Schizosaccharomyces pombe: one gene and its partner. Changing the gene in region 2 together with the main gene of any one other region gives a genetic interaction. Each region holds a gene or a part of one and is shown on either strand. Other genes may lie near its edges.

Region 1 (4,820 bases), on a different chromosome or scaffold from region 2:
CGTCTGTGGTGACTCCAAGAACGATCCTCCCATGGGTTGTGCTAGCTTCACCGCTCAAGTCATCATTCTTAACCACCCCGGTCAAATCTCTGCTGGTTACTCTCCTGTTTTGGATTGCCACACTGCTCACATTGCTTGCAAGTTCGCTGAGCTCATTGAGAAGATTGACCGTCGTTCCGGTAAGAAGATTGAGGAGTCCCCCAAGTTTGTCAAGTCTGGTGATGCTTGCATTGCTAAGATGGTTCCTTCCAAGCCTATGTGTGTTGAAGCTTTCACTGACTACGCTCCTCTTGGTCGTTTCGCTGTCCGTGACATGCGTCAAACCGTCGCTGTCGGTGTCATCAAGGCCGTTGAGAAGGTTGCCCCTGGTGCCGCTAAGGTCACTAAGGCCGCTGTTAAGGCTGGCGCCAAGAAGTAAACATTTTTTACTTCGGATTTAAGTAGATCTTGAGTTGTTGTAATCAGGATAGGCTAGTGAATGTTATATTGTTGATTAATATAATTTGGTATACTACTCAGTAATTAAATTTACTTATAACTTAGGAATTGAAATTTAAATTGCATGGTTAAATATAGATTTGCAACGATAATTCTTTTTTTCATTTTTTAAGTGCAAAATATGTATATGTAGAACTAAGTGCGTACATATGGAGGACTTTGAATAGGTGTCGGAGACATAGCACGATTAAGATTCAACATATCAAGCAGAGGTACACGGTTGCTCGTTTGTCTTGTAAGATTTATTTCCGACGGAGAACGTACGACAGTACTAGCAGTGTGTGGCCTTGATAGAGCCTGTTTCAATGTGCTAACCATTTCTCCACGTTGTGATTGCTGGTGAATAGAAACGAGCGACTTGGTAGCATGAAGTAAAGGATTTTGTTGGTAATCCGAAGCCGGTGATATAAATGGAAGTGAATATTCTGAAGAAGAAGTAAAAGACTTTTCGCGAGACGGTTTCTTTAATTTTTGAATAATATCGGTGTACTTGGGGTGTCGCGATTGCTCAGCAAATAGTAGTCTAGAGTCCTCTGGGAATACTTTCGGGCTTTTCTCCAATAATTCATTTACAACCATGTCCAAAGGCAACATGACTTCCTCGGTAGAGGCATTTGTTAGTTTCTCCCAAGAATGCGTAGAAGAACCTCTGTTCAAGAGACTCGAAGGTAATGAGCTAGATAATGAATCAAGCCACTTTCGTCCACTTGACTGAAGAGTTGTGATCTTCAAATTCTCTCCAATATAGATGATATAATAAGCAGTAACCGCCTCGGCAATACAGCGAGGAGGATCATTTTCAAAGGGTCGTAGTCCGCGATACATAGCAGGTAATACCGCTGTTACAGAAACTGGACCATAAAGCTGGTAAAGCCTTTGGATGATGAGTTTTAGAATATAAAATTCAGACTGCACCGAAAACACCTTGAGCCAACGTTCAATATGCCAACTGGTTTCATATATAAAATCCCATAATACAGAAAATGATGTGATTGCACTTTTCCGTAAAATAGTATCGAAATTTATTAAAGATGGACGGAGAAAGCACAAAAATTCGTAGAACACCTCAGCAGTTTTTATTCGTACAAAAGGTGACTGGGAAGTGTGAAGACGTTCAGCGGATTTGGGCCAGCTATGCAACAAAAAGTCGGTAACTAAAGAGAGAGGAGCACTGGATTCTTTTTTTGTATTTAGCTTTTCATTTTGCAGCTTATGAAAAGCTGTTAAAGCTACCATTTGTATAGCAGAAGAAGTTTCAGAATTAGCAAGAGTGTCGATTTCTCGCCATACATCAGCAAATTCTTCATCGTAATATTGATGCTTAGTTAAACAGGTGATACAAACCAAAAGTAAATAAAGGCGCCTAGGGAGCTTTTCCGATGGAGATTCACACATATTATACCAAGTTTGGTCATCAGCATCGAATGAATTGACAGCGTTGATAAGATGCGACCCCAAATCACGTAACACGTCAATAACGGATAAGCCAGAAATTGAGTTTTTCGAGTTAAGAATGGAGTAAATCATGTATGGCACCATCACATTAGTTTCAGAGTTGACAATACGAGAACTTGATAAACAACGAAGACAACAGAAAAAGATCGAATGTCGAAGTTCAACAGGAGTCCAATCCAAAATTTGGTTAAGCACGACAGATATGTATTCTAGATTTACCGGAGTGTCGGATTTTGCTGCAAAAAAATGTATCAAGGACTTCGTACTTTCGGCCATAAACAGAGGATCTGTCTGAGTATATATGTTGAACAAAATTCTAATACATAACTTCTTAATGGCAACATCTATATTATCACCCGCTTCATCATGCTCGGGTAATGAAACACCAGTACTACTAGGAGGCAATGGCTTATATGATTTAGCCGTGGAACGAACCAAATCAATAAATGACTTCTTCTCCTGATCTGATTCACTCCAAGAATTAATCAAAACGCAATGTATAGCAAAATGAGGTTGATAACGCATTCCGCCTTCAGTTCCAGCAAACTTGCATGCGGTTAAAGCATGGAATGCTTTCAGGCCAAGCATTTTCGACTGCTGAGGATCAACACAATCAATACCTTTTGATAATTCAAAAAATGAATTGACTAAGTTATTAAAAGCAGAATGGAATTCGTTGCCAAAAGTGGCAGGACTCCCCTTTCCACTATTATCGCAAAACGTAGCAAAACAATCAACGCAGGCAGACAAAACTTCTAAATTTTTTGACGAACTAGCAACAAGGAGCATATTTACAACTTCGGAGGCCATCACGTTGATGTTATCCCGACATTTTTGAACCAATGTTTTGCATATTTTCAATCCGATAATAACCTCACTAAAAACATTTAGAAATAGAGCCTAAAACAGGAACTTACTTATCACGTTTATGATAATAGCTATGACGAACACGACTCCCTAAAAAATGAGCCACTTTTCTCAGTTTACTCGAATTGGATGCAGCATAATAACTTAGGTATGCTAGAGGTGACCCATTCGGTTCCGTTTCTCCTAGTTTCCCCGAAGGAAAACATCGAAGGACTAACTTCTTATGCTTAGAACGAAATAGTAACCACATAGGACCTAAAAAACTGGCTATCACATGGACAGCAATTTTAGTTGGTTAACGGATACTTCTGAGTAGTACGATGATCAAAATCAATATATAGCTTCACGTATTAAAAATGACGTATTAAGGTAACTTTAAACGAGTCGCTTGTGTAAGCTTATTTTGAGTAAATGTGTCTACCGGTATCCTCTAAACACAAAAAATAGAAAAGTGATCCGTATAATTCAGTTAATTATTTAGTGCAAACTGCTATCTTAAGTGGAACACGCCACCAAAAATAACTGATCTGAAGATTAATGAGTTTACAGACATATGTAAATGATCTTGTTATTGAGAAATGACTCATGAGCCATAAATAAAGCGTTTACTGCGAAAACAACTTTCGAATATTTAAATGACTTTATCAAAGGTTATAGAACATGCCTTATATCCTTATTCCTGCTTACCTTTCCTGAAAGTTTTTCTTACCGAACATGCTCATATTCTCTAAAACTTAAACATTCCCTATATCTTTAAATCTCTTTTATGAATTAAGAAGCCAGATTTTGATGCCAATAGACATTATTAAAGATATCCATTTGCAAACGAACATTTGAACTGGTTTAAAACAAGGGATGTCGGTTATCACTTACTAAGCAACAATCTATTGAAATATATTGAATAAAACAACAATAATTTACATACCCAACAGCACTTAACGTAGCTATTATTGCGCTTCCTGCCGTCAATACTAACGATATCAACAAGATTACTTAAGTATTATTAATTCTAAACAAAAGTAATATTTAATAAACATAGGAAGGAAAATTATAAGCTTGCAAAGCAAGCAAAGTATTATAAGACAGAAACGGAACAAAGTCACTTAGTAAATAAAATCGTTTTTTCAAACAGCCAATTGTAGTAGTAAATGTATACAAGAAACAAAGAATGCTCAATCTACCTACAACGATTGATCGTAAGCTCCTGTTAAAGCTCCGAAAACATAACCTGAGTAAACACCTTTATTGACAAAATAATTGCATGATAGTATGAGCAACCCGACTTTTGCTTTATTTTAAAGCATAATCTCCAATGGATTTTCCAAGATCTTTTTTAGGGCGGTGGTAAATCGAGCAGCCATAGCACCATCAACAACACGATGATCGGAACTAAGAGTGCATTTCATTATGGGGGCAACCTTAAAGCCCTTTTCAGAGGTTGAATCAGGAACAACTGTATCAACAGTGGTTCCCACAGCAAGGATACAGGCTTGAGGAGGATTGATGATAGCAGTGAATTGATCAACAGGGAACATACCCAAATTAGAGATGGTGAATGTGCCTCCTTGATATTCCTCAGGCTTCAATTTGTTGTTACGGGCACGTTGGCCATAATCCTTAGCTAAAGTGGAAATTTCTGCAAGACCGAGTGCATGAGTATTGCGAATTACAGGAGTGATTAAACCAGAAGGTGTAGCAACAGCCATAGAAATATCGACGTTCTTATATTGACGAATAAAGTCACCCATCCAAGCCGCATTAACTTCGGGAACTTGCCTCAAAGCAGCAGTAGTAGCTTTGATAACAAGGTCGTTAACCGAAAGCTTATAGCGTCCATCAGCCATGGCGTTGAGGGCAGCACGGAGGCGAATGATTTTTTCCATGTTAACCGAGACCGTAACGTAGTAATGAGGGTTCATGTTTTTACTTTCTGCAAGACGAGAAGCAATGATCTTACGCATGTTGCTTAAAGGAAGATCTTCATAGTCACCAGGTGCTGC
Region 2 (5,184 bases):
TTAGACAGGTTACAACAACAGAAAAAAAAAACATATAATAAAAATCCTCGTAATTTAGGACATAAGTAGGAATTTCACAGTATTTCCCAAACACTGTTATATCTAAGTCCTTTAATCAATTTGTTGCCTCAAATGAAGAATCCAGCTCCAAAATCGAGGACTGTGTCAAAGAAATCAATTATTAGAAATGAAAAGTAGATCCTAAAGACTTGAAGGGAAAAAGGGACAGTAAGGAAATTCACTGTTTGTCTACTAACAATATAAACCTAAGAAATCAATGAAAGAAATTCATGCAACAGAAACAAAGGTTTTGTTAGAAAGTTTTTAAGTAGTATTATTTCAGCCACAATATGGAATTTATAAATTTTCGTTTAATTTTTTGATTATGGTTGGTTCGCACTAGACGTAAGGGCTGAGCTTGAATAGCCTCAACTTCGCCTTACTGAGCTGCCTGAATATCAACGTACAAATGTGGCAGCTTAGCAAGGATAACAGTTTACACTAACATTTTTTATTTTCTTCATAACCATTTGCTTTGTTTTATATTCGAAATAAATTATTGATAATAAGGATGTAACAAAACTTCATACATTAAAAATTGGTGTTCATTTCAACCTTAATGTTTGAAACAAACGTTAAATTGATATCGAAAAGCACGTAAGCGTTTTTGCAATGTTTAAACATATTTGATTGTAAACAGGCTTAAGAAATAGCACATTTTTTCCAATCATTCACAAGCAGTAGATCCTAATACTTAATGAATTGAACATTTTTGAATAATAATCTAGGAAAGAATCGCAAACGCAAAGCAATTATAAACTCAAACAGAACTAATTATGGGTAGAATAAACACAAAAAAAAGAGAGTAAACTGTAGCTAAAAATATAATAAATTTTGTTATCAATGGACAATTATGAGGATTTCAGGTAATGTCGGATTTGTATGGTAAAAAAATTAAATTCCTCAATTATGATTAGAGACCTTCATGTTAACCGCTAACATCAAACTAATATTAATAAAATAGAATGAAGTAGCAATAAAATGATGGAAAAATTAAATTAACAAGGAACTTAGAAAGAACAGGCGAGAAAATAACATATGATACCTTCAAAGACTTAATCCTCGGAAATAGTAGCATACTATTACACAAGACTTATATTAACACGTGCTAAAGACCGCATTGGAAGAAGCACACTGGAGTCTTTCAAAAATTACATCCTTTAACATTTTTGGAGATGAACTATCTTTGGACAACAGGGTAATATAATTTAACGGCAGAAGTGCTTCAGCATTTGACGAAAAAGACCGACCGGGTGTCGCTTGTAATAATTGGCTTCCTGGATAAGGAGGGAAAGTTTGTGAACATGAAGGGTGCAAAATACTCCCATAATCTCGTTTAATTGGTAAACCAAATTCTGCTTCTTCAGAATTCGCAGACGTTGGCTCATTTACTTCGATACGAACAACATCCTCAACAACATATAAATTAGGGAGCTCAAGTAAATCATAAATATTCATGAGGGGATTCTTTAAAACTTCAACAATATTGTAGGCTTGCCCTTTTACAAGTGAAAGTTGCCGCGAAAACATTTTCTCATCGAAATCTAAATCTTGATTGAATACGTTTCGTAAATCATCACTTAGTTTTTCCCACCATTCTCGGCTAGTCAACTTGTGTAAAAAGAGTTGCCTGGTAAACTCTGTAAAAGGTTGCGTAAATAAGGAGCGTGGTAAAGAGAGCCAACCATAAGGAAAGGACCTCCAAGAATCCGGATGTTTATAAGGGAATGCTAACGAATTATCTATCGCTCCTATTTGAAAATGTGGTCCCTTCCAAAAATCCGACGTTTGGGAAATAGCAGGGTCTACCGAGTTCGCAGACATATTAGGTGTTAAATTCGTAGATAAAAGATTAATTGATTTATAATATTCTTCATTATCACAGGGTTCGTAACAAATCTTGATCATCCAGTTATCCAAATTACGATCTGTATTACGCATTAAATAATCGAGCAAAACAAGTTTTTCAAATTCAAACCGGAATTTAAGGCGTAATTCTTCGGTCCAAAATTCGGTCTCAATTTCGTTCTCAGCTAAGAAAGGATCGAAAATGTCGAAGTCCTCGCTGGAAGCTACAGACTCCGTGTACTCTCGGGTTTCTCTATGTCGAGTACCAGGCCAGGGATGTTGAGCAAAAAACTTGGATGCAACGACGAAACCATCAAGAAACTGCTGAAAAGATCCAGTCTTTTCAGGAAGAGGCTTATTCCTTGTCAGAAAAGCTTTTCGTGCAAAATAATCATAATTGAAGGTTGGAGAAGAAATTGATGCAACAGACGTGTATGGAACTAAATACAAACCCAGACCTCTATCTAGAACACAAGCAGCGGCTTCTGAAAGATACGAAGTATTCGGAATTAGACAACTTCTCCCAAAAAAGCAAGGAAATAAATTTCGATGGAACCATTTCGTCCATTTAGGATTTAGCTTTCCATACGGTTCTTCATCTTTGGGTTTAAATACAGCTATATTTTTTTGGACTTTATTTTTCACAAAATAAGATCCAGAGGACCCCTTGGAAATAAGGACCGGGAAAACGCCGTGGGCGATTGCTTCCTTTGTAGCATCAAGGAGTCGAACGTAGTCTTTATAATCATATCCAGCGTAATGGGGGTATTCCTCCCAATGCTTTTCTGCATGCAAAACCCAAGAAGGAGCCATGAACACTGAATAGTAAACTCGGGGTTTTGAGATTGATTCAGACTTTCGTCTTCTTGCTTGCAAAGACTTGCTTAATTTGTTAGCCCATTGACCAAATTTTGACTGGGTAACTAGCCCTTTTAAGCTTCCAAAGACTTCATTTCCCTCATTTTCGTCTGGAAGAAGAAGACTCGACGAAGACGAACTGTTTGACGAAGCCCATCCATCCCTTAACGATTCTAAGGGATTGGTCTGTTCCTCATTAGTGTTTAAACTATTTTCCTGATAATTTGGAAAAGAATCGAGAGTATCTGAATGGAATGTCGATTCCATAACGCCCTGTGCAAGTACAGCACAAAAGCAAGAATCAACGAAACTCGGCTTTTTTAAAATAAAACTCTAGAATGACCGAAACGGAAAAGTGATACTATGATATTAATGAGCGTGTCAAATCACTGCTAACGTATCTCTTTCCCTAAATTGCCTAGCAAAGTCTCTGTTTTTACACTTGGAACATGGTTAGCACTTGAATCAACTGCTCATAATCTTTGCTGCAATGAGTAACGTAATGTAGCACACTGTGGGTTTAGTACGTTAAGCAGTATATATATATTATATATACAATGTTTAAATACTTGAATCGATTAGATACTGTAAATTATAAACAAACATTACTGTATATTTGAAATTCAGAAAAAACTCTTTCAGGAAACTCCCTTGAATATACTAAGATTTTTAGCTGAAGAATATTTTAATTTGCAGTAAATAAATAAATTCAACATGAAATTGAACATTACGAGAATTCCTAGTATCCCAAATAATACTCATCTAAATAGTGTATTGAAAAGATTGAATCCAGATTTGTTTTTTGTAGAAGGTTTTAGGGTAAGAAAAGCTCTAATTAATTTCCCTTGTACGAAAAATGATGAATCAATATAGAAAGAAAAGCAATTGTTTTTGTGTGATAGCCTCGAAGACGGGAATAAATAATTGAAAAAAGGGGAAATAATCGTCAATAATGAATAAATCTTTTCATTGAGGATAATAGAGCACCTTAGTTCTTATAAGCATTACAAAAACTCGTATCCTTTAAAACCATTACTGGTTATTAAAGCAAAACAAAACGTTCCAAAAAATCGCCAGCGTATTACTTAACCGCCAAATATCCTCTATGGATAACACTTAGTATCCAATCGATAAATTATAAATATAAAGGAAATATAAATTTTTTGGTTATACGCTTTCTACAATGTTGCACCGGACAAGGCACAGTCTTCTTGCGTAACTCTTTTGCACAAGTAGAACAAAATAAGTGTCCACACTTTGCAGCAAAAATGGATTTTTTCTCATCACTTACTAACTCATTTCCACATTTTGCGCATGCAATATTATTATGAGGATGGACATCATAACAAAACCCAGGTGGAGGAGATACCCTTTCGGCGATAGAATTTGATGAATCCTGAGCTTTTTTTCTTGAATTTCGAAACCCATTTTCAAGAAGGGTTCTCCGTTGGGTTTGAGACCTGTTTCTAGTCCTTCGTGCACCATAGAATATCCCCCCTCCAACAGCCACGGGAGGTCGAGTGACTGGAGAAGGAATAGAATTAATAGTTGGAACATTAGAAAGATTAGCGTCAAGGTGGTTACGGCTTGTACGAATCCTTCGACGAGGCTGGAACTCTGGTATTCTCGTTAAATCTAGCAAAGTAACTTCTGAAACATCCGCACCGTCATCTTCTATATCTTCGGTTAGGTCAATAACCTCAGGGCTTAACCTCTGATCCCTTCCTGGTACTAGAAACGTGTAGACGTTAACATATATTCTATAAACCGAAATTTTCACTTACATTCTAGTCCATGCAGATTCATACAACACAAAGCATAAACCTTTATTAAATCCCAAAGCAATTATAATCTTATCAGTTTTTTTTAATGCAACTTGTAGGTAAAATCGATCAACCCCGTGAAATTCAAATGATTCGGCATCACTGTGTGTTGAAGAAAAAGAATATGCACACTGCTATAAATCTTTATTTTTAGAGCGGCAACGAAAATATGTACTCCTCGTAAGCTTCAATGTAATCTTCTTAGGAGATAAATCAATTAGCAAAGCCTAAATCGCTAACTTGGGTAGAATGAAGTACGTAGTGCTGCCACACCCCACAACTCAGTAATTGAAACTTCTCACCCTGCACTTTTCGTTACAAAATATTTTGAACAACTTGTTGTCAGTTAGTTAAATGGCTATTTGAAAAAAATAATAGGGAAACAATATATCAGCCTCTAAAATTTTACAATATCCAGATTTTCGTAAATGGATGGCACAAATAATACAATTCCCTTACAGTTTGGCAAGCAAGCACAAACATACGATATAAATGCGTTAATTGCAAGATTCATAAGACCGAAAGAAAGCTTTTTGATAAACAGTGTAGAAAAAGAATCCGAATCAAAACTCAACTCAAAGAGTACTACTTTACA

The links.
Region 1: of lsb6 (region 2) and efr3, changing one enhances a phenotype caused by changing the other (phenotypic enhancement), as found in Schizosaccharomyces pombe (one study listed by BioGRID).

The regions. Positions count from the first base shown.
Region 1 is NC_003421.2:263,695-268,514, reverse strand, and holds efr3 (protein efr3), read right to left. Parts: upstream 3,128-4,820; 5' UTR 3,071-3,127; coding exon 2,871-3,070; intron 2,831-2,870; coding exon 634-2,830; 3' UTR 509-633; downstream 1-508. Other genes in the region: tef101 (translation elongation factor EF-1 alpha Ef1a-a), read left to right, coding at 1-418; dihydrolipoamide S-acetyltransferase E2 Lat1, read right to left, coding at 4,116-4,820.
Region 2 is NC_003424.3:1,679,802-1,684,985, reverse strand, and holds lsb6 (1-phosphatidylinositol 4-kinase Lsb6), read right to left. Parts: upstream 3,222-5,184; 5' UTR 3,034-3,221; coding exon 1,159-3,033; 3' UTR 519-1,158; downstream 1-518. Other genes in the region: SUMO-targeted ubiquitin-protein ligase subunit Rfp2, read right to left, coding at 3,902-4,497, 4,551-4,572; wdr70 (WD repeat-containing protein), read left to right, coding at 5,018-5,184.